Stegostoma tigrinum: one gene and its partners. The protein of the gene in region 3 interacts with the protein of the main gene of each other region in a biochemical or structural test. Links are inferred from orthologs where the notes say so. Each region holds a gene or a part of one and is shown on either strand. Other genes may lie near its edges.

What was found. The genes of interacting proteins can lie anywhere in the genome.
Region 1: the proteins of mast/stem cell growth factor receptor Kit-like (region 3) and matk form a complex in vitro, tested with the Homo sapiens proteins (2 studies listed by BioGRID). The link is inferred for Stegostoma tigrinum from reciprocal best matches to the Homo sapiens genes KIT and MATK.
Region 2: the proteins of mast/stem cell growth factor receptor Kit-like (region 3) and yes1 form a complex in vitro, tested with the Homo sapiens proteins (2 studies listed by BioGRID and IntAct, with this or other methods). The link is inferred for Stegostoma tigrinum from reciprocal best matches to the Homo sapiens genes KIT and YES1.

What each region holds. Positions count from the first base shown.
Region 1 is NC_081383.1:29,642,447-29,650,532, forward strand, and holds the start of matk (megakaryocyte-associated tyrosine-protein kinase), read right to left. Parts: upstream 3,018-8,086; 5' UTR 2,779-3,017; intron 1-2,778.
Region 2 is NC_081358.1:79,796,577-79,803,619, reverse strand, and holds the start of yes1 (tyrosine-protein kinase yes), read left to right. Parts: upstream 1-4,026; 5' UTR 4,027-4,376; intron 4,377-7,043. UniProt on the Homo sapiens protein: Non-receptor protein tyrosine kinase that is involved in the regulation of cell growth and survival, apoptosis, cell-cell adhesion, cytoskeleton remodeling, and differentiation.
Region 3 is NC_081354.1:108,017,502-108,024,505, reverse strand, and holds the start of mast/stem cell growth factor receptor Kit-like, read right to left. Parts: upstream 3,020-7,004; 5' UTR 2,958-3,019; coding exon 2,906-2,957; intron 1-2,905. UniProt on the Homo sapiens protein: Tyrosine-protein kinase that acts as a cell-surface receptor for the cytokine KITLG/SCF and plays an essential role in the regulation of cell survival and proliferation, hematopoiesis, stem cell maintenance, gametogenesis, mast cell development, migration and function, and in melanogenesis.

The DNA.
Region 1 (8,086 bases), on a different chromosome or scaffold from region 3:
TCTGAGACCTGGGGATGGAAATGAGAGAGCACAGTCACACTTGGGTCCTCCTGGAATGGAGTAGCAGGTTGGCACCAAGCTAGGGGCCATTTTTATCTATTCTAGACAGCAGACCAAATCTTGGGCTCAAAAACATAGTTGGTAGCTGTAAATGATTCTGAGTTAAAGTTTTACCTAGGGTTAGTTAGGATATATGACGCTGAACAGTTCATTTGGTGCAAACAGCCCAGGCTGATGTTTATGTTCCAGTCCACTCACTCTGTCGTATCAGATTAAGAAGTGATGAATGATTATTTACTTTAGTTCACTTTGACTGGAGAAATGAGACTTGCAATGAAAACGCACACAATGCTACAGGCCAAGAAAGGAAAAAGGGATTAAAGTAACTGGTTGTTTTTGACTAGTACAGACTCCGTGGGCTGAAGGGCCTTTTTCTGTGCTGTAGACGTCTATGACTAAGACTCTAAGCTATGTATGTCGCCATATATCTGGGAGGAGGAAAATAATATCTCATTTCCTGCTACATTTTGAGAAATATTGCACCACATTGCAGCAAAGTACATCACTATTTGAAGATTGTCACAAACTATATCTTTAAACACTCATTTAAAAATATTAATGTACAAACATGAACTTGACATGTCAGAGTCTTGCAATCCTCCAAGTCACCTTTTCACCAGGTGCAGCATGGTGCGATGTGGGATGGAACATTTCTCACTTCTTTAACAATATTAATTAGACTGAGCTTAGAAAAGGAGGAAAGACTAACTGCTCCACTATCAAACCACTGTTTGAATGAAGTTAAATGATTAACTGATCAGTTATCGGACCCTTGTGGTGCCTCAAATGCATGCAAATATAGGTTTTGTATATGCAAGGGTTGTCTTTGATTTGTTTGGATAGAATCAAACGCCAATGTTTGTTTCCTTGACATGCTATCATACAAAATCAGAATGCTTTTTGGTACCATGTATATATACAAAGACATTTTTTAATGAATGAAGTATATTTTTGAAGTTAAAAAGAATCACCAGAAATTGAACCAGACCATCCATGCAAGTATTATTGCTACAAAAGCAGATAAGAGGCTAGGATTTCTGCAGCGAGTGACACACTAAAGCCTGTCATATCATCTACAAGGCACAAGTCAGGAGTGTGATGGAATACTCCCCACTTGCCTGGATGGGTGCAGCCCCAACAACACTCAAAAAACTTGACACCATCTGGGACAAAGCAGCCGTTTGACTGGTACCACATCTACAAACATCCACTCCCTCCACCACTGACGCTCAGTAGTTACAGGGTTTACCATCTACAAAGTACACTATAGAAACTTCCCAAAGTGCCTTCAACAACAGCTTCCAAACCTCTGATCACTACCGTCTCCAATGGAATATATCGCTGCTCCTTCACTGTCTTTGGACTAAATTTCTGGAACTCTGTCACCAACGAGATATACCTGCATTGTATGGGCTGCAGAGGCTCAAAAAAGCAGCTCACCACCATCTTCTCAAGGGCAACTAGGCATTGGTAATAAATGTTAGTTCAGCCAGCAATGCCCATATCCCATGAATGAATCAAAAATGGAAATCCAATTAATTATAGCAAAACATTACAGGATTTGCTTAAGTGAGCCAGCAACCAGATTGGAGCAAAAGTGCATCTTTATTTAAAGGTTCTCATAAACTATTGGTAACAAGTCACACTTTCAATAGTCATCAGATATTACTGAGCAACTTTCTCACTTACACTCCTACAATTCTGCGTAGCGCTTAGTTAGTGATGGCCCCATTTATACAGCCCGCTTTCATTTCACGTCCTTCTCATTAAACATTAAATGCTGCTAATTTCCGTCAAATTTCACTTCCCTGTGGTGTTGCGTGTATGATTTCTGACCATTTCCCTGAAAAAGTTGCTTCTACAGGAATGGTGCTCGCCACATAGAAGCATGGCACTCCAGACTGCCAAACAAGCAGACAGCCAGTGGCATCTTAGCTGCATCAACCAAATGGGTTGGGCATGATTTTTCACAAATTGCTGTGATTTGTAAAATCTTTGTTAATATTTCTTCAATTTTACACTTCTGCGATGCCACATTCTGGCTGCCAAGTCAGTGCAACTTCACAAAACAGAATTGGGTATTTTCCGTGTAAATTTTTGTAACTTCCTCTGAAGCAAAGTCAAGTTCAGTTAATTGATTCTAAATATATAAGCTCATAAATAAAAGCAGAATCCTTGTGGGGGTAAGAACTGACCAGTGAAACGAGGGCATCAGAACTTCAGACAGAGCACTAGTGAACTAAATAATGTACAATAACCTGTTTGAGAATTGGGAGTGATTTGAAAGGGTATCCCAGAGAGACACATTAAGAGATAGCCTCCCAGGACCTCAAAACTGCCTTGCTGCCCAACCCTCTTGAATCTTTTCTGGTCTGCTGACTCAAAACTCCAGTTTGGAATTACGTAAACACAACCGCTTCCTTCATCTGGTTGTCAGTTTTAATTATTTTGCAGCGTTGTTGCAGTAGAAATTGCCCTTTTGTTTCTCATTAATATTTTATTCAAGGAGTCATAACCTTCCGCTCCCCCGCCCCCGCAATTCCATTGTTGAAATCGCACCGCGAGAAAAAAAAAGGGAAATATTTCATTAGTATAGTTTCAGTAAAGGACGACCTTGCAAAAAGTTTGTGGTCTTCGTCATTACAAACCAATCTTTCTTTAAAAAAAAGGTTCACCAAATAACACAAAACAGAGATTGCAACACAGACAGGTACTCACCGCACAGCGTCTTGCAGCGGATTCAGTGATTAGCTTCAGGGCTGGGGGTTGCTCGCAGTCAGATGAAGCCTGTGAATTACTGGTATTGAAGTGATATCGAGTAATCGCCAACAGAACAGCAACTGCCAATTCTCTACCGTCGCATTTCACTTCGACATGGGCAGAAAAGGCAATGCAGAGAATTCGCGTCGAGCGTAGCACGCGAACTAATTTGTCTTTCAACATTACATTTACTAAAGAAGGTCTCTTCCTGTAGGTAGCTGATGGGTTGGATCATTTCCTCTTTTGATCTGAGCTGTGGCATTGCAGAATGTATTGAAACTTATTTGCAGAGACTATTTTACTTTGGCTATAAATATCTGGAGCTAACAACGGCGTTTGTGATAATATTATTGAGTAAGGAATAGCTGAAATTCCTGCCGCTGATTTAAAGGGAACCACCTGAGATAAGTGCACTTGCCCAACTCAGGGGCAGGTGTGCTAACAGGGGTTTGCGAGCTGTCGCACGGTTATAGTCAGGTCGGTGAGGTTAAGTTGTTAGGGTGGCAACCTGTCACTAATTCATCTCAGTCGGGGAATTTGAGTCTAGCAGCAACTCTGCATAGGACTTTCTTTCTCACCAGTCAATGTCTCCTTTCTGCTCACTATTAAACTCAGTCAGGGCACGCCATTTTCTGCATTAAAGGCGTTCTCGCTACCACAGAACTTACCCATGCCCTGAACATGCTGAGAAATGATCTCCTCTGACAATGCAGCACTCCTTCAATAACACAGAATCATAGAATCCCTACAGCAGGCCTATTGAGTCCATACCAGCCCTCTGAAGAGCATCAGACCAGCATTCCTATCCTATTCTATCCCTGTAACCCTGTATTTCTTATGGCTATCCCACCCAGTCTGCACATCCCTGGACACTATGGGTTCATCCCATATGGTAAAGCATGGCCAATCCATCTAACCTGCACATCTTGGGACTGTGGGAGAAAACCAGGGCACCCAGAAGAAACTCACACACAGCGAGAATGGGCAAACCCTACAAGGATGCCCAAGGGTGGAATCAAACCCAGTTCCCTGGCATTGTAAGGCAGCAGTGCTTAACCATTGAGCCACTGTGCAGCCCAATATGTCCTGATGCCTGATAGAAGCATGACATTTTACAGGATATGGACATTTTGAGCTCTTTGACAGGAAACCACAGGGACATCTGTTCTAAATGACATACATGATTATTTGCAAAAAATGCATTATCAAGACAAAAAAAAACAATTGTTCTATTTATGTGATAATTTAAATAGTTTCTCTCAACCCACTCCTCTCTTGACTGTGACAGGGACATAGGGTCCCACCCTCTCACTTCCTGCAAATTACTCTCACATGGAGGTTGGTGGTTTGTTGAACTGTGGAGAGATTTACTGACTCAAGCCCTGCATGAGCCCAGAATCTCTTTAGCAGAGGAATGATGGGCTGAATCTAAACAGGACAGCAATGAGACATTCAGTTTCTACAATGGAGATTGGAATCAAGATTTTGGAGCAAAGGACATAGGAAGTGGGAACTCATTGTAGTGCAATAAATAAAACACATAAGGATAACACCGCGAGGGTACAAAAGTAGGAGTGGACAGATGTATACATAAAAAGTACAAGTCTGGATTGTAAAACTGGATAGTAAAGGCAGTCAACATGATCAAAGACCTCTCCCATTCCGCTTATAATTTCTTCTTTCTGTCAGGCAAAAAATACAAAAGCTTAAACACACATTCCAGCAGGTTCAAGAACATCCCTGCTGTTATTAGACTTCTGAATGGACCTCTGAAATTTCAAACTGAATGTTGATCTTGCTTTTTGTGCAGCTTCTTTGTAGCCATAACTTTTGTATTCTGTTCAATCACCCCATAATCCTTGAATGTTATGTATTGCATGTAAAACTTTTTACTGTACCTAGGTACATGTGATTATAATAAATCAAATCAAATTAAAACTTGATTCATCATTAATTTGGTTGATTAATCTCATTAACTTGACTGAGATTTTTGAAGAAGTAACAGAATTGATGAGGGCAAAGCAGTGGACGTGACCTACATGGGCTTCAGAAAGGCATTCAACAAGTAGACTATGGAAGCTCGGGCAGGTGCAGGCTTCTCTTGCAGGATGTGGGAGGTAAGGGTCACTGCTGGTGCTCCCTCTGGCTTCACCTGCAAGAAGCGCACCCAACTCCAGCTCCTCCCAGGCCGCATTAGGGAACTGGAGCTGGAGCTGGATGAACTCTAGATCATTCGTAGGCTGAGGGAGTGATAGAGAGGAGGTATAAGGAGGTCGTCACTCCTAAAGTACAGGAAAAAGGAAGCTGGGTGACTGTCAGGAAGGGGAAAGGGAAACGGCAGACAGTGCAGCAATCCCCCCGTGGCCATTCCCCTCGATAATAAGTGTACTGTTTTGGATACTGTTGGGAGCAAGACCTACCAGGGGAAGGCCATAGCGGATAGGTCTCTAGCACTGAGCCTGGCTCTATGGCACAGAAGGGAAGGGGGGGGGTGCCGAATAGGAGAGCAATTGTAGTGAGGTATTCGATAGTAAGAGGCACAGACAGGTGGCTCTGTGGATGCAAATGAGATGACTGGATGGTATGTTGCCTCCTCCGTACCAGGGTCTGTGATGTCTCGGATCGTGTTTTCGGTACCAATGGTGTAGATAGAAAAAGGACTGAGAATGTGAAAAATTAGTACAGGGAGTTAGGTTGGAAGCTGAAGTCTGGGACAAACAGGGTAGTTATCCCTGGATTACTACCAGTGCCACGCAATAATGAGGTAAGAAATAGGGAGTGACTGCAGCTAAACATGTGGCTGGATCTAAACAGGACAGCAATGAGACATTCAGTTTATACTATGGAGATTGGAATCAAGATTTTGGAGCAAAGGACATAGGAAGTGGGAACTAATTGTAGTGCAATAAATAAAACACATAAAGATAACACCACTGGTGTAGGAGGGAGGGCTTCCATTTTGTGGGTAATTGGAGCACATTCTGGGGAAGGTGAGACCTGTACAGTAAGGACAGGTTGCACCTGAACTGGAAGGGCACAAATATCCTGGGAGGGAGGTGTGCTCGAGCTGTACAGGATGGTTTAAACTAGATTGGCAGGGGGTGGGGAACCAGATTTGTAATTCAGAGGATGAGGTATTCAGCCTTCCAACAGACACAACAGGGAGTGAGGTTGTTAATAAAGAAATGCAGTTGATGGAGTGTAATTGTGGACACAGAGATGGTTTGAGGTGAGTATACTTCAATGCTAAAAGTATCAGAAATAAGGTGGATGAACTTAGAGCGTGGGTCAGTACTTGGAACTACAATGTTGTGGCCATTACAGAAACTTGGGTAGATCAGGGACAGGAATGGTTATTGAAAGTTCTGGGATTTAGATGCTTTTAAAGAAATAGGGAGGTTGGAAAAAGAGGCAGGGGAGTGGCATTGCTAGTCAGGGCTCGTATAACAGCTACTGAAAGGCAGTTCGAGAATGATATGCCTGCAGAGTCAGTTTGGGTCGAGGTCAGGAACAAGATAGGATCAGTCACTTTGTTGGAGGTTTTTTACAGACCCCTTAATAGCTGCAGGGAAATGGAGGAGTGATTGGGAGGCAGATACTGGAAAGGTGCAGAAGTCACAAGATTGTAGTCATGGGTGACTTCAACTTTCCAAATATTGATTGGAAATATTTTAGCTGTAATAGTTTAGATGGAGCGGATTTTGTCCAGTGCATTCAGGAAGGATTCCTGACATACTATGTAGATCGACCAACATGAAGAGATTAGATCTGGTGCTTGGCAATGAACCGGGCCAAGTGTTAGACCTGTTGGTAGGAGAGCATTTTGGCATAGCGATCATAACTCCCCTACTTCTACAATAGTCATGGAAAAGGATTGGTACATAGAGCAGGGTAAGGTTTATAATTGGGGGAAGGGTAATTATAATTCTGTTAGGCAAGAACTGGGTAACATAAAATGGGAACAGATGCTGTCAGGGAAGAGCACTATTGAAATGTGGAGACTGTTTCAGGATTGCTTACTGCGTGTGCTCGATATTTTTGTCCCTAACAGGCAGGGAAGATGCGATCTAGTGAGGGAGCCTTGGTTCTCAAGAGAGGTCGAATGACTGGTTAAGAGGAAGAAGGAGGCTTGCATAAGGCTTAGGAAACAAGGAATGGAAAACGCTGTAGCGGGATACAAGTTAGCCAGGAAGGAACTGAAGAAAGGGCTTAGGAGAGCTATGGGGGTGGGGGTGGGGCATGAGAAAACCTTGGCAGATAGAATCAAGGAAAACTCCAAGGCTTTTTACACATACATGAGGAGTAAGAGAATGACCAGAGAAGGGGTAGGGCCGATCAAGGATTGTAAAGGGAATTTGCGCATGGAGCCTAAAGAGATAGGAGAGGTCCTTAATGAATACTTTACTTTGGTATTCACAACTGAGAGGGACCTAGTTGTAGAGGAAGGCGGAGTGAAACAGGCTAGTAGGCTAGAGGAGGTCAATGTTAGTAAGGAAGATGCACTAGGAATTTTGCGGAACTTGAAGGTGGATAAGTCCCCCAGGCCTGATGGGATTTATCCAAGGATTCTATGGGAAGCAAGGGAAGAGATCGCATGGCCTTTGGCGATGATCCTTTTGTTCTTACTGTCCATGGGTAAAGTGCCAGAAGATTAGGCAGAGGCAAACATCATTCCCTTGTTCAAAAAAGGAAAAAGGAGTAACTCCGGAAAGTTAGTCTTGCATCAGTGGTGGGCAAATTATTGGAAAGGGCGTTCAGAGAGAGGATTCATGATCACTTGGAAACGCACAGTTTAGTTTTTGATAGTCAGCATGGGTTTGTGAGGGGTAGATCATGCCTCACAAACCTTATTGAATTCTTTGAAGAGGTGACCAAATATGTGGATGAAGGTAGATTAGTGGATGTGGTGTACATGGATTTAAGTAAGGCGTTTGATAAGGTTCCCCATGGTAGGCTCATGCAGAAGGTAAGGAGGCATGGGATAGTGGGACATGTGGCAGATTGGATTCAGAATTCATTGACCCTTAGAAGTGGTGGTGTGTGAAAAATATTCAACATGGTGCTCAGTTGTGAGTCGTGTACCATAAGGATATGTTCTGGGTCGTCTTCTATTTGTGATTTTTGTAAATGAGTTGGATGAAGAAATGGAAGGGTGGATTTGTAAGTTTGTGGACAATACGAAGGTGGGTTAAGTTGTGGATTGAGTTGTGGATAGTGCGGAGGGCTGTTCTAGGTTACAAAGGGACATTGATTGGATGCAGAGCTG
Region 2 (7,043 bases), on a different chromosome or scaffold from region 3:
TTTTGAAGTTTTCACATCCTTTCTAAGTTGCAGTGTCCAGAATTGGACGCAAGTCCAATTGAAGTCAACCCAAAATTTTACAAAAGATCATATCTTTTTCTTGCTCTTGTACTCTATATGCCTCTATTTACAAAGCACAGAAACTCATAAATACTTTTTTTTCTACTCTCTTAATCTGTCTTACCAACTTCACTGATTTTGTGCATGTATAGCCTCAGGTCTCCATAAGAATACAAGTCATAGGAGCAGATGTACGCCATTCAGCTCAACGAGGCTACGCTACTCCACCCTTCAATGAGATTGTGCCTGATCTAATAATCATCAATTCCACTTTCCTGGCATTTCTCCATAACTCTTGATTCCCTCATTGATTAGAAATGTCTATCTCAGTCTTGAATATGATTAATGACTCAGCCCTAACAGTCTTCAGTCGTAAAGAATTCCACAGATTTACTGCCCTCTGACAGAAGACATTCCTCATCTCTATCTTATATGGACAATCCCTTACTCTGAGACTAGGCCCGCTAGTTCTAGACTCGCCCACAAGAGGATGCAACCTTTCCATATCTACCCTGATCATTGCCTGAGAATCTTAAATGTTCCAACAAGGTTGTCTTTCATTTGTCTACGTTCAACCCTGTTCCATCGCCCCACTTGGATGTTTTAATTGTTTTAATTCTCTCATGGGATGTGGGTAGTGTCAACAAAGGCAGCATCTGCTACCCATTGCTAACTGATCTTCAGAAAGCAGAAATGAGCTATATTCTTGAATTGCTGTCGTGATGTAGTATAAATACATCCAGAGTGCTGCTGGAAACAAGTACAGGATTTTTGGCCCAGAGATATGGTTCCAAGTTAGACCTTGGAGGAGGAACTTGCAGATGGCGTTGTCTCCATCTGTTTGCTAGTCTTGACCTTCTCAGTGCTAGAGCTATGCCTTTTAATACTTCTGGCACTTTTATAACACACATTGTTTTGGCCTCCACTGCTTTTGGAGATTGTAAATTCCACAGGCTCATCACTTGCTGTGTGAAGAAATATCTTCTCTTCTCAGACCTAACTCACATCATTAGACTGTGACTACTGGTTTAGGGATCCCCACCATCAACAACATCCTTCCTGCATCTACCCTGTAAAGTCCTGTTAGCATTTTATAGGTTTCTATGAAATAGTCAATCATTCTTCTGAATTCCAGCAAATATAATCCAAATTTATTCAACCTCTCCTGTTACATCAGTCTCGCCATGCATGGAATCAGCCTGATTAACCTTCACTGAACTACAGCAAGAACATCCAACATCAGACAAGGCCAGATTTAAAATGTATTTTATTATATCTTGACCTGACCTAAGACTTTATTATTATGACTTCTAATATTACTTCTTAATGTTATGTCATCTGCTCCTACCAATTTGTGCACCTTTGTTTATCCTTCCTAACCTTACATCCTCATTCCCATTCCCCTGGTCAAATCAGTTTAAAGCCTGTGCCAAAGCATTAGCAAAACACTTTGTAGAACTTTGGTCCCAGATCTATTAAGGTTCAAAGCATTTGCAATTGTCTAAGGTAAATGTTCTAAAAGGGTTAAAGATGGCTGCATTAGCTACACACAACCTGATGATGGTCTGGAGTCCTGGATAGGGAAATTGGGAGAACAGCTCTGATTTGGAAGGAGGCAGATTTATCATCAATGTATCCCAATTGTCTGAATAGCAATGGCTAACTACCTGATTGCTATTACACAATAAATTGCATAAAGTTACATTAAGAACCTCTTCCTGATTTTTAATTTTTTCTGTTCAGTCCTTCCCCACCTACATCCACAATTCTTGTGATGTTTTACATCAGTTTCAAAATTTCCAGTTCACAGGCTCCAGCCACTTCCTCTTCACCACGGACATGTATCCACTTAATGCCTATTTCCCCATCATGATGGTCTCAAGGTTCTCCACAACTTCCTGGAAAGATGGCCTGAACCGTCTCCATCCACCACCATCCTCATTTGTCTGGCACAGTTCATCTTCGTTTTGAACAACTCCTCCTTTGACTCCTGTCACTTTCTTCAGATTAAAGATGTGGCTATGGGTCCCAGTTATGCCTATCTGTTTGTGGGGTACATGGAACATTCCTACTCTGGCCCCCACCCATAACTTTTTCTCTGGTACATAGTTGACATCATCGGTGCTGTTTCCCCCTCTTATCTGGAATTAGAAAAATGTATCAATTCTGCTTCCAATTTCCACCCTGTCCTCACTTTCATCCCTTCCATCTTTGATTCATCTCTTCCCTTTCTTGACATCTCAGTTCCCATTTCTGGGTATAGGCTGGCCACCAATATCTGTTACAAACCCACCAACTTCCACAGTTACTTCAATTATACATCCTCACACCCCGTTTCCTGTAATGGCTCCATCTCATTTTCCCAGTTTCTTTTTCTTTCTTCACATTTGCTCTGATGATGCCACATTCCACAGGAGAGTTTCCAGCTGCCTGCCTCTTCAACAAACCTCTATGCCCCACACCAATGTTTCTATTGCAGGCCTGCTGCAGGTCCCAGCAAGCCTCAAAGCAAACTCAAAGAACAACATCTTATTTTTCACTTTGGGATCCTGCAGTCTCTAGGATCCAACAGTGAATTTGATAACTTCAGAGAGCATGATTCCATCTTCATTGTTTATGACATGCTCCATATCCAGTTCTGTTATGATATAGTTTACTTTTAGCACAAGTCACTCATTCTCACGTACTTCTGGGCCTATTGTCATATATGTGTTGCACTCAGAACAGCTCACCCATTTTCTCATTCTTAGCTATTCATTATCCCTTATTCAGGTTTTCTTCTGTTCTCGCCTGCTATCAATAATCTCCTCATTTACCTATCTCTTTCATATTTGTCTCACTCCCTCTGGGCTCTGTGTCCAACTATCCATTCACCGCTCCCCTTACCCAGACCCCTTCACCCAGATTCTGGATAAATACCAGATTTTCTAGGTGCTACCGTTTCTGATGAAGAGTCACCAAACTCAAAATGTTAACTCTGCTTTCTTTCCACAGCTGCTGCTAGACCTGCTTTATTTCTCCAACAATTTCTCTTTGTTTCAGATCTCCAGCATGATTTGTTATTATTTTACAATCTTCAACTGTAAAATTAAAAGTACTGTGAAAACAGCCAGATGTCCTCTTACACTCAGATGGAAAAGAGAATAGGTTCTGACGAAGGGTCACGCGACATGAAATTTTAACTCTGATTTGTCTCCAAAATGGACCTGCTGAGTTTTTCCAGTAATATCTGTTTTCATCAGAAAATAGGTTGCCCAGCATCCTTCAACACACAAATATCCCAAGACAGAATGCCAGAGTTACGGAATTATGGTTCGAAAGGAAGCTGCTCAACCCTTGTCTGTCTCATTTATTCCCACATCCTTCAGAACCAGACCCAGTGGCGTGACTATTGCAAAACTGTCCTCACTGGCCTTCAAACTTCTTCAACGTGAACTTATCTTCAACATTCGCCTATCACTCGTTCTCTACACTGATTCTCTGTTCACTAACAAGTCAAATTTCAAACATTCATCTTTGCATTCCTCATCACTATAACTCCCACCTCCTCATCCAACCTGTTTAATTAACAAAAGAACAACAACGGCAAAATGTGAAACATCCAGCAGTTCGTCGTTGTAGGGGACAGGGTGCGGTGCGGACCGGATCCGAAGCTGGTGGGGCGGGATCACAACTGGAGACATTAGTTAAGGGGCGTGTCTGGGCGGGTTTGCAGGTCCACGAATGGGATATTGGGCGAGTGGATAGAGGCGGAAGTGCCATGAGCAGTGGGGGTGGAGTGACGCAGGACGTAAGATGGAGGGGCGGGGCCGCGGTCGAGGCGAAGCCGAGGCTGGGTTGGTGTTGAAGGGGCGTGATCATGAGGGCGGGCCGAGGAGGCGGGGCCGACGGTGGAGGGGGCGGAGCCGTGCGTGCGGTGCAGCTGGTGGAAGAGGTGGGGCCATATGGGCGGGCCGATGGTGGAAGGGCGGGGCAAAGGCGGAGGCGGTCTCTGCTCCCTGAGGAGCCGCCATCTTGTAGTGAAAGCTTTGCATCTTTAAGATAGTCGGCGCTGCTGTGAGTATGGTTTAGATTTGGAATACGGATCTTGTGTTTGGGAGGTTTAAGTTCGGTTCTAGCTGTTTGTTTCGTGTGGATCTGGCTCGGGAATGAGGTGATGATGATGATGATGATAACGGAGGACCTGTGAGTCGGGCCTAGCGCCGAGCTGATCGGATCATTTGGTGGAGCCACTCCGTCCTCTCCACTCGGCTGCCAGAAGAGTTGTTAAAGTGATGTGGATGTGAGGAGACGACCGAGTCCCGACTGGAGAGCAGGTGAGTGACGCCTTGGCCCGGTTTTGATTGCGAGCTACTGGAGTCCCTGTCTCCGGAAAGGGTCTGTACCCCCCCCCCCCCCCCAACTTCACCCCTTCCACATCCTCCATACTCCTCAATCCACGATTACTCCACCTCCATTGCCTCTCCACCTCCTACCAACATCAGCCCTCGCCCGCGTTCTCTCAACTGTCGCTTCCCATTTTCGCTCTCCTCCCCTGCAGCAGCCCCCCAGTCCCACAAATTCCCTTGCCCCATTCAAATCTATTGCCATCTCACACGCTATCCCCAACCCACCCTGACTCCTCCTCATATCCCTATCCCACCTCCACCTCATCCTATCCTATTTTCACTAACCGTTATGTCACCCCATTCTCCATTCTCACCTTTGGTTGCTAATCTCCAGCTAGGCTATGAATTTTAATCCCACTTGCTAATTTCTCCACTCAAGTTTCCACTCCGTACCTATCCATTTGTGCAGAACAAATCCTCTGTAATGGCATATTGAAATAAGTGACCAATTAATATTTGTTGTTGTCGATGCAGGGATTGAATGTCATTATGCCAAAGAGTTCCCTGCCCCTCTGTCTTTTACATCCACATGTTGGATAATAGAAGCAGTTTGGTTATATCTTTTATTTAAAAGACAGTACCTTGAGTAATGCAGCAATCCCTCAATTCTGCATTTCAACGGATTGTGTGAATTATTCAAGTCTGTCAAAAATCTGGCTTTCAGGTTAGGTACCTTCGTGTCATTGTGCCTCATATTGATGCAAAATGAGTGATTTTTACTGCTGAAAATTTCTGAAGTTACAAGTGTACGTTCCTGACATGGACTTCTAAAAGTTGGAATGCATAACTGTTTCTGGAAAAACTGGTTCTGTTCTTGTGGATTGTTGTATGATGTTTACTGATTTTGGTGTACCCATCTATTTAAGACTTGTGTAAGTTATTTGCTTTGGTTAAATTAGGTTTGTCACAGCAGAAACCCCTCCCTAAACATATTTGTTATATACAACATTAGTCATTCATGGGTGTCTGATTTAACTATGGGTTTATAAGCCACAGTTAGTACACACTCATTAAAATAGTTTTCAACTTGCTGGTCGGATATAACTTATTAAAGTGGGAGAACCAGTTAATTTAGGACCAAATGATAAAATGTATTTCGTGATCTTTTTAAATGATAACATGGCCTGTATTTTGAAATATGCAAGTTTTAACATGTTAAAATTCACAGTAATTTGTTTGTTCCTTGTTCATCCATACACTCTTGAGTAGTGTTATTAAGCCGTTAAATTACCATCTAGCTATTGGTTCCACATATTTAATGCCTTGTTATGAAATAGTTGAGAATGAGTGTAAAACTTGACTGTTTTCATAGTATCCAGCTGAATGAAACAACTTGGGCTTTGGTTTTCTTTGTCCCTGACCTTGATGATCAAGATACCTTAGAATGGATCTGGACTGAGGGTTATGCATTGAAATTAGACCAAAAGTATATTGTCTGAAATGACCATGACTGATCCTTTTTTAATGTCATTCCCTTGTGCTCCCTCCCCATACCCTTTAATGCCTGTGTCTGGTAACTTATCTGTTTCTTTTTTAAATTACTTAGCAACTTCACTTTCACAGTGTTACATGATAGAGAATGGTATATGTTTACCACTTCTTGAAGTCATTTTTCTGCTTTCAGCCCAAAAATCCTTAATCTGTATCTGAAAACCATGTGCCATTGTTGTAGGAACCCCGCTTTGTCATAATGTTACACACTTCACTGAGATTCAGTCTTATTCTTCTAAACCCAATCTCTTCTCGTATGACAAACTTTGTATCTCAGCAATCAGTCTGGTGACCTTTAACCGTATTCCCTGTCTGGCAATTGTAAATTTCCTTAAATGAGGCCACCAGAACTGCACACACTATTGTAAGTGATGTCTCACGAAGGTGCTTTACAGCCACACTAAGCCTACCTTGCAATGAAGGACAGCATGCCATTTACTTTCCTAACTATTTGCTGTACCTAATGCTTGCTTTCATGGTCCATTGTAGTAACAGTGCTAGTAGAGGAATGGTTAAAGCCTCTTTAGACAGTGATGTACAATTTCTTGGAGATCAGAGCCACAGGAGGTTGACAAGGTGCCTGACAGCTCCAGCCTTGATCACTTCCAAATTACAAATTTCTTGGACTTCCAATATGATGGTGAAACAGAACATTGTGAGCAAGACAGCCCTGGTCAGCAATCTGTTCATCTGGAGAGTGGTCATCAGCATTGCAGAAAGGAGACAATGGTTGCGAAGCTGTCCATTAATGGAGATCAATGTCCAGATCGGTTGTACATGTCAGAGTAGGTAATCCCTGAAGCGTCATGGACATAGTGATCGGGAAAAGCAAAATTTGTTCTGATTGTTTGTTTGTCACATGACTGCTAGTGTAGAAAGTTAACTATATTGTTTTGTTTTTAATGTTTATAATGAAGGCATTTGTCTTGGATTGTAAAAGCATCTCCTCATATGTGATACATTTAGGTGATAAAATCTACTTTCATCTAAGTAGCTTCAATTTAAGTAGTGGTTTCCTGGGGCATATTTATTTCTTAAAATGGTGTATTCCTGTATTCTAATAAAGAAAACCGGGTTCTTTATATAACATCTCACTTTTCAAAT
Region 3 (7,004 bases):
TGATGGACTGGACTTTCCAAGGAGTGGTAATCTCTCAGTGCAAGAAAGAAGGGAACTCTGCATTTCTGAGAGGATGGATGACGGCTTTAGCTTGGTTATGGCTCCACAGTCAGTGGAAGAGGAGGGGAAGTGTCTCACAGGGGCAAGCCGACCGGGTTCAAGCCCGACAGTATGCAGCAGCGGGTATGGGGAATGGGTTCAGAGGCTGGTTGTGGGATCAGGCCGAGGTCTGATGGTGACTGTGACAGGGTCACTCGGGCTTCGGTCTGGTGGTGGTGGTGGGGAGGGCAGAGATCAGGGTCCAGCCGTGGTCATGGGGAGGGGAGGGTTTAACAGCGCCTGGGTTTTAGGGAGTGGGGGTTGTGGGGTGAGTTCAGATCCTACGACATGTGGGTGGGGGGAGCACGGAAGGTGGGTCAGGCCTGGCTGCTGTAGGGCGGCTGGGGGATTTGGACTCAACGGGTCGGGGGAAAGTGTAGTTGTGGTGTCTGAGCTAAGGATCGGATTTTCTCGAATGTCACTCAGGAGTTCAACTATACTTAATAGTCTAACCTTTCCTGAACAGTTATTTTACTTAATTTCGTCTGAACCCTTCAAAGTCTCCGATTTAAACTGAGAATCTCGGATGGGTCCTGGTGTAGAGGTATGACCCAACGGAAAATTCAATTTCCGGGCCATTCCTTCGGGATCTGCTATTATCGGGATTCCGGAAGTTTCCCAGATGCAACTCCAATCTGCCTGGGAATAATGACTGTATAGCCATCAGGAAATCCAGGTCACTACGTAATATACATACTCACCGCCAAACATTTTAAGAAGTGCACAATTTGGGGGGTGGGGATGAGTATCAGCTACAAGATTCACTGCAGGTTCTCATGCAGGCTCCTTCGACAGCACCTTGCAAATCTGAAACCTCCACCCCAGTCCCAAGAATGTGGGCGTGGGAATCCTACTGTCTGGAAGTTTCTCTCCAAGCCACATATGATCCCAGTTTGGGAATGTGTCACTGTTCCCTCAGTGTCGTCGGGGCAAACTCCTGGCACTCCCTTACTAACGACGCCGTAGGTATTGCCGACAGCAGTTCCAGAGGGCAGCTCACCGCTACCTTCTCCAGGGCAATCAGGGATGAACAACAAACATTGGCCCAACCAGTGACGCCCAGGTCCCGCGATCGGAAATTAGAAAAATTATTCTGAAGGGCAACATAGATACACTTATGGTGAAGCCTGAGAGAGACTTTGTAGAGAGAAGTAGCAGGATGCAATGATACAGAGAGATAAAGATGAGTTGAAAAGGGTATAGACACCAGTAAGAACAATACAACAATACATTGTACCCAAATCAATACAGAGCTCTCAGTAACACCCCTTCATTATCTATACCCCTGACTTCCACCAGGTTTGGGGCTGGCGCCAGGCAAACTTCTAGCCTGACTGCTCTGGCGTAAGACGTTATCGGTGCAACAGACAGAACGGCTCAGTGTAAGAGCTGGCGGAGGGAGCTTCACTCTCACAGCCGAAAACTTCAATCCAACGGGATTTACCGCTCGGACAGGATGCAAACAATCGTTGCTAAAACATCACGGTGTGAAGCTGGATGAACGCAGAAGAAGGGTCCCGACCCGAAAACTCATGCCTTCCTGCCCCTGTGATGCTGCTTGGCCCGATGTGTTCATCCAGCTTCACACCGTGTTATCTCAGATTCTCCAGCGCCTGCAGTTCCCGTTATCTCTGTTGCATCCCACGTTTGGTCCGCGACTCCCTCCACTGACCCACTTGTATATGATGTTGGACTGGGGTGGACAAGGTCAGAAATCACACACCAGATTATAGTCCAATTCTAACTCAGTGTCGTGTGATTTCTGACCCTTTGAATATGAAAAAGACAGTAAAATTCAAACAGAGGACCCCATCAGCGTTAAAAGCTTCCCTCCATTTCTGCCTTGCTGTTAATCCGTTCATTGAAGTTGCTTTGGCCTGGGTGTTAGTTGTTCCTTTCTCAGTTTGCCTGGGGTGTCCTATGCACTTCTGTAACTTCCTTACTCCGAGACAAGCAATTCTCCCTGCTACCGCGGTCTCAGCAGAGGTACGTAACAAAAACACACTTTCCCAGTCCCTTCTCTGTGCATCTGTCTCACAAAAATAATGTCCTTCCACCTAGAATACACAGCACTCGCGGGAAAGTGAACCTGAGGATCTGAGCAGAGAGAGGCAGGAATACAAATAGTCAGAGGTCGGGATTATCACTGGTTAGCACTGCAGCCTCACAGCGCCAAGGACCCGGGTTCAATTCCAGACTCGGGCGACTGTCTGTGCGGCGTTTGCACATTCTCCCTGTGTCTGCGTGGGTTTGCTCCAGGTGCGCGGGTTTCCTCCACAGTTCAAACATGTTCAGATTAGGTGGATTGGCCATGCTAAATTGCCCGTACTGTTCAGGGGTGTGTGGGTTATAGGGGGATGGGTCTGGGTGGGATACTTAAAGGGGCGGTGTGAACTTGTTGGGCCGAAGGGCCTGTTTCCACACCGTAGGGAATCGAATCTAATTATCATTGAAAGAGAGGAAAACGGAGACATTAGGTTTGAATGTGTTCAGATATTCTCAAACTAGTGGAAGAAAAATCCAACTTCCGAGTCTTTTTTATAACATCTCCCTAAATCTAAATGCAGCTGCAACACGTTTGTTCAAATGTCAAAAGCACTTGTAACCCTGTTAACTGGGGACGGTCTGAAAGATCGAACCTCCGGGCGAATATAATCGGTATGTGAAGGTTCATTCATCCAGACATTCCCTCCTTCGTTTCTCTTCCATCGCTCCACAGTTCAAACCGGGCTTTCCCTCATAGACAATGTGAAGGTGAGCGAATTAAACAGACCAATCATTCCGTAAGTGAGAAGCAGCCTTTTACCTTGATGAGCAGTCAGAATAAGCAGGAGAGCAGCAAGCCAGCGCTGAGCCATTGGCAGCGGGAACACACTGAGTGATGAGCTGCCTGTTCCGCTCTGAGTTTAATCAGTCCCAATGCCGCCTGCCTCCCCTCGCACCAGTTTTACACACAGCTCCCGCTGACGCGCTTCCCCCTCGCTCCTCAGCCTGACTGGAGCAACGCGTTTCGTTGCTCGTTCGTTTGACACTGTTGCTTTGTTGTTGTGGATTTATTTGCATAACCGTCAGATAGGCGTTAATAATCTCATAAAGTTACCCGAAACTAACATAATGAATTCTTGAGTAAAGAATATTCCCAAGGCATTTACCTGCATTATTGGCTTCTTGTTCCTGTCCCTTTCATCACGGAAATTGGCACCACCTCAAGTGATTATCATTCCTTCTGAATCTCTCAACCTCCCAATACAATCCCCCAGAGTGAAGCTTCTGCCCATTTTACTCTACATCCTGAACCCGAGTCAACATTCAGAGTTCGTCATTTCTCCAACAGGAGAAGCAACTTAATAAAAACCGAGAGAACTGCGGACGCAACTTGTTTAACCTCCTAAGCATTCTAACAGGTCCCGAATCTTCACAGAAGCACAGTCCTGAAGAAGGGTAATAATCGAAAACATTGACTTCTCCCTTCAAATGCTGCCTGGCTTGCCGTGTTCTTCCAGCATCAGGTCTGTCTACCTTGGATTCCAGCATCTAACCATTAAAAAGTAACTAGATACCAAGCCACGTAAGGCAACATTACAGCAGTTCACCCACAGTTTAATCATAGAGTTAAGTGTAAAACTAAAGGCATGAGGATATTGTGAATAGTTTGTCTGGTTATCTCAGGAAATTTTCAAAAGGCTTCCAAGACAGTTCCACGTAAGAGACAAGCATGTAAACCTAAAGCATATGAGACTGGGGTAGTATAATGCCATGGACAGAGAGCTAGCTGGAATAAAGTGAAGAAATAAACTGTTCTTTTTGATGAAGCATGCGGTGACTAATAGCCCACTGCGGGAAATAGTGCTTGACCTCTAATTCACAATATATGTTCATGACTTAGTTGAGAGCATTTTATGATTTGGAGTTGGGGGCCACATGTAGGGTGTCAAAGTTTGCAGATGACATTAAGATGCGTGGCAGAGCAAAGCGTGCAGAGGACTGTGAAACTTTGCAGAGGAACACAGATACATTGAATGAGTGGGCAAAGGTCTGGCAGATGGAATACAATGTAAATAAATGTGAAGTCATACATTTTGGTAGCATAATAGTGAAAGGGATTATTACTTGAATGGTAAAAAGTTGCAGCATGCTGCTATGCAGAGGGACCTGGGTGTCCTTGTGCATGAATCACAGAAGGTTGGTCTGCAGGTACAACAAGTGATTAGGAAGGCAAATGGAATTTTGTCCTTCATTGCTAAAGGGATTGAGTTTAAAAGCAGAGAGGTTATGTTGCAGCTGTACAAGGTGCTGGTGAGGCCACACCTGGAGTACTGCGTGCAGATTTGATTTCCTTACTTGAGAAAGGATGTACTGGCACTGAAGGGGGTGCAGAGGAGGTTCACTAGGTTGATTCCAGAGTTGAGGGGGTTGGTTTATGAGGAGAGACTGATTAGATTGGGATTATATTCATTGGAATTCAGAAGATTGAGGGGGTTCTTATAAAAACATATAAAATTATGAAGGGAATAGATAAGATGGACGTAGGGAGGATGTTTCCACTGGCAGGTGAACCTTGGACAAGAGGGCATAGCCTCAAGATTAGAGAGAGCAGATTTAGGACTGAATTGAGACGGAACTTCTTCACCCAGAGGGTTGTTAATCAATGAAATTCCTTGCCCAGTGTAGTAGTTGGCGTTACTTCAGTAAACATTTTTAAAGCTAAGGTAGATTGTTTTTGAACAATAAAGGAATTAAGAGATACAGTGAGAATGCGGGTAAGTGGATCTGAGTGTGCAAAATGATCATCCATGATCTTATTGAATAGTGGAGCAGGCTCGAAGGGCCGGATGGCCTACTCCTGCTCCTAGTTCTTATGTTCTTCTAAATGTAATCCCTCCAAGTTTGCAGATGACACAAAGTTGGTTGGGAGGGTGAACAGCGCATATTCAGATACTCTGAATCAGGTAGGGAGGCCAAAACTGCGCACAATACTCCAGGTGTGGTTTACAGGCCAAAACACTTGAAATTTAGTCACACTCATACTACAGGCGGCTTGGGCTGGTACGGTGGCTCAGTGGTTAGCACTGCTGCCCCATGGAGCTAGGGACCTAGGTTTGATTACACCCTTCGGCAACTGTCTGTGTGGAGTTTGTACATTCTCCCTGGATTAGCATGGGTTCCTCCAGGTGCTCCGGATTCCTCCCACAGCCCAAGGATGTGCAGGTTAGATGGATTGGCTATGCTAAATTGCCCACAGTGTTCAGGGATGTGTTGGTTAAGCAGATTAATCACAGGAAATGCAGGATCACAAGGATGGGGTGGGTTTGGGTGGAAAGGTCTCCGGGGGTTAGCATGGACACGATGGGCCAAATGGCCTGCTTCCACTGTGTAGGGATTCTATGATTCTATGACACTGGAGTGTGCAGAAGACTCTGAAAGTTTGCAGAGGCATATAGACAGTTTACGTGAGTGGGGAAAGGTCTGGCAGGGGTACAATGCTGATAAATGTGAAGTCATTCATTTTGGTGGGAATAACAATAAAAAGGACTATTATTTAAATGGTAAAAAATTGCAGCATGCTGCTGTGCACAGGGACTTGGATATCCTGGTGCATGAATCGCGGAATGTTGGTTGGCAGGTACAACAGGTAATTAAGAAGACAAATGGAATTTTGTCCTTCATTGCTCGAGGGATGAGGTTTAAAAGCAGGGAAGTTTTGTTGTAACTGTATAGGGTGCTAGTGAGGCCACACCTGGGGTACTGTGTACAGTTTTGGTCTGCTTACTTGTAAAATGATGCACTGGCACTGGAGGGGGTGCAGAGGAGATTCACTAGGTTGATTCTGGAGTTGAGAGTGTTGGCTTATGAGGAGAGGCCAAGTAGACTGGGGTTATATTCATTGAAATTTAGAAGAATGGGGGGCGTATCTTAAAGAAACATGTAAAATCATGAAGGGAATAGAAAAGATAGAATCAGGGAGGTTATTTCCACTTGTGGATGAAACCAGATCAAGCTGTCATAACCTCAGAATTAGGGGGAGCAAATTTAGGACTGAACTGAGAAGGAACTCCTTCTCCCAAACAGTTGTGAATCTGTGGAATTCCCTGCTCAGTGAAGCAGTTGAGGCTTCCTCATTTAATGTTTTTAAATCTAAGATAGATATTTTTTGAAGGAATTAAGGGTTATGGTGAGAGGGTGGGTAAGTGGAACTGAGGCCATGAAAAGATCAGCCAAGATCTTATTGAATGGTGGAGCAGGCTGAAAGGGCCAGATGGCCTACTCCTGCTCCTGTCTCTTATGTTCTCACATAGGAACTGCAGAAACCTCTTTGCACATACCAAAGGCCCACATGAAAATATATGATAATGACCAGATAATCTCACTTTTTAATGATGTTGATTGAGAGATAATTATTAGACAAGACACTGATGATTAAACTAGTTACTATAGTTCACATCAATATTGTTGAAGCTATTTTGAGCCAATGCACATGTAGAGAGGAACACACAAAATTTGGTGGGGTCAGTAAATAGCAATAAGTTTGACTGTGTATTAAGTACAGCGAAAAGACATTGGACTGGATTAAACCCAGGCCAATATGACAAGAAACATGGCCACAGGGCCCATTTAATCATGGAAGAATGTTCAAGTCCATTTCTTGGAGTCGGAGACACTCCTATTATTACTTTGGAGGCAGGAAGGTGCCCATAGACAAGTTTTTAACAAAAAGTTGCTCATGAGATATGAACGTTGCTGGCTAGGCCAACAGTTATTTCTCATCCCCAATTACCCAGAGGACAAGTTAAGAGTCAGTTACATTGCCGTGCCTGGAATCTTGACCACTTTCATTGGGATGTCATTGCATTAGGCTTATTATTAAAGCCAAGAGGCACATTTTATCCCTGAGCCAACCAGAATTT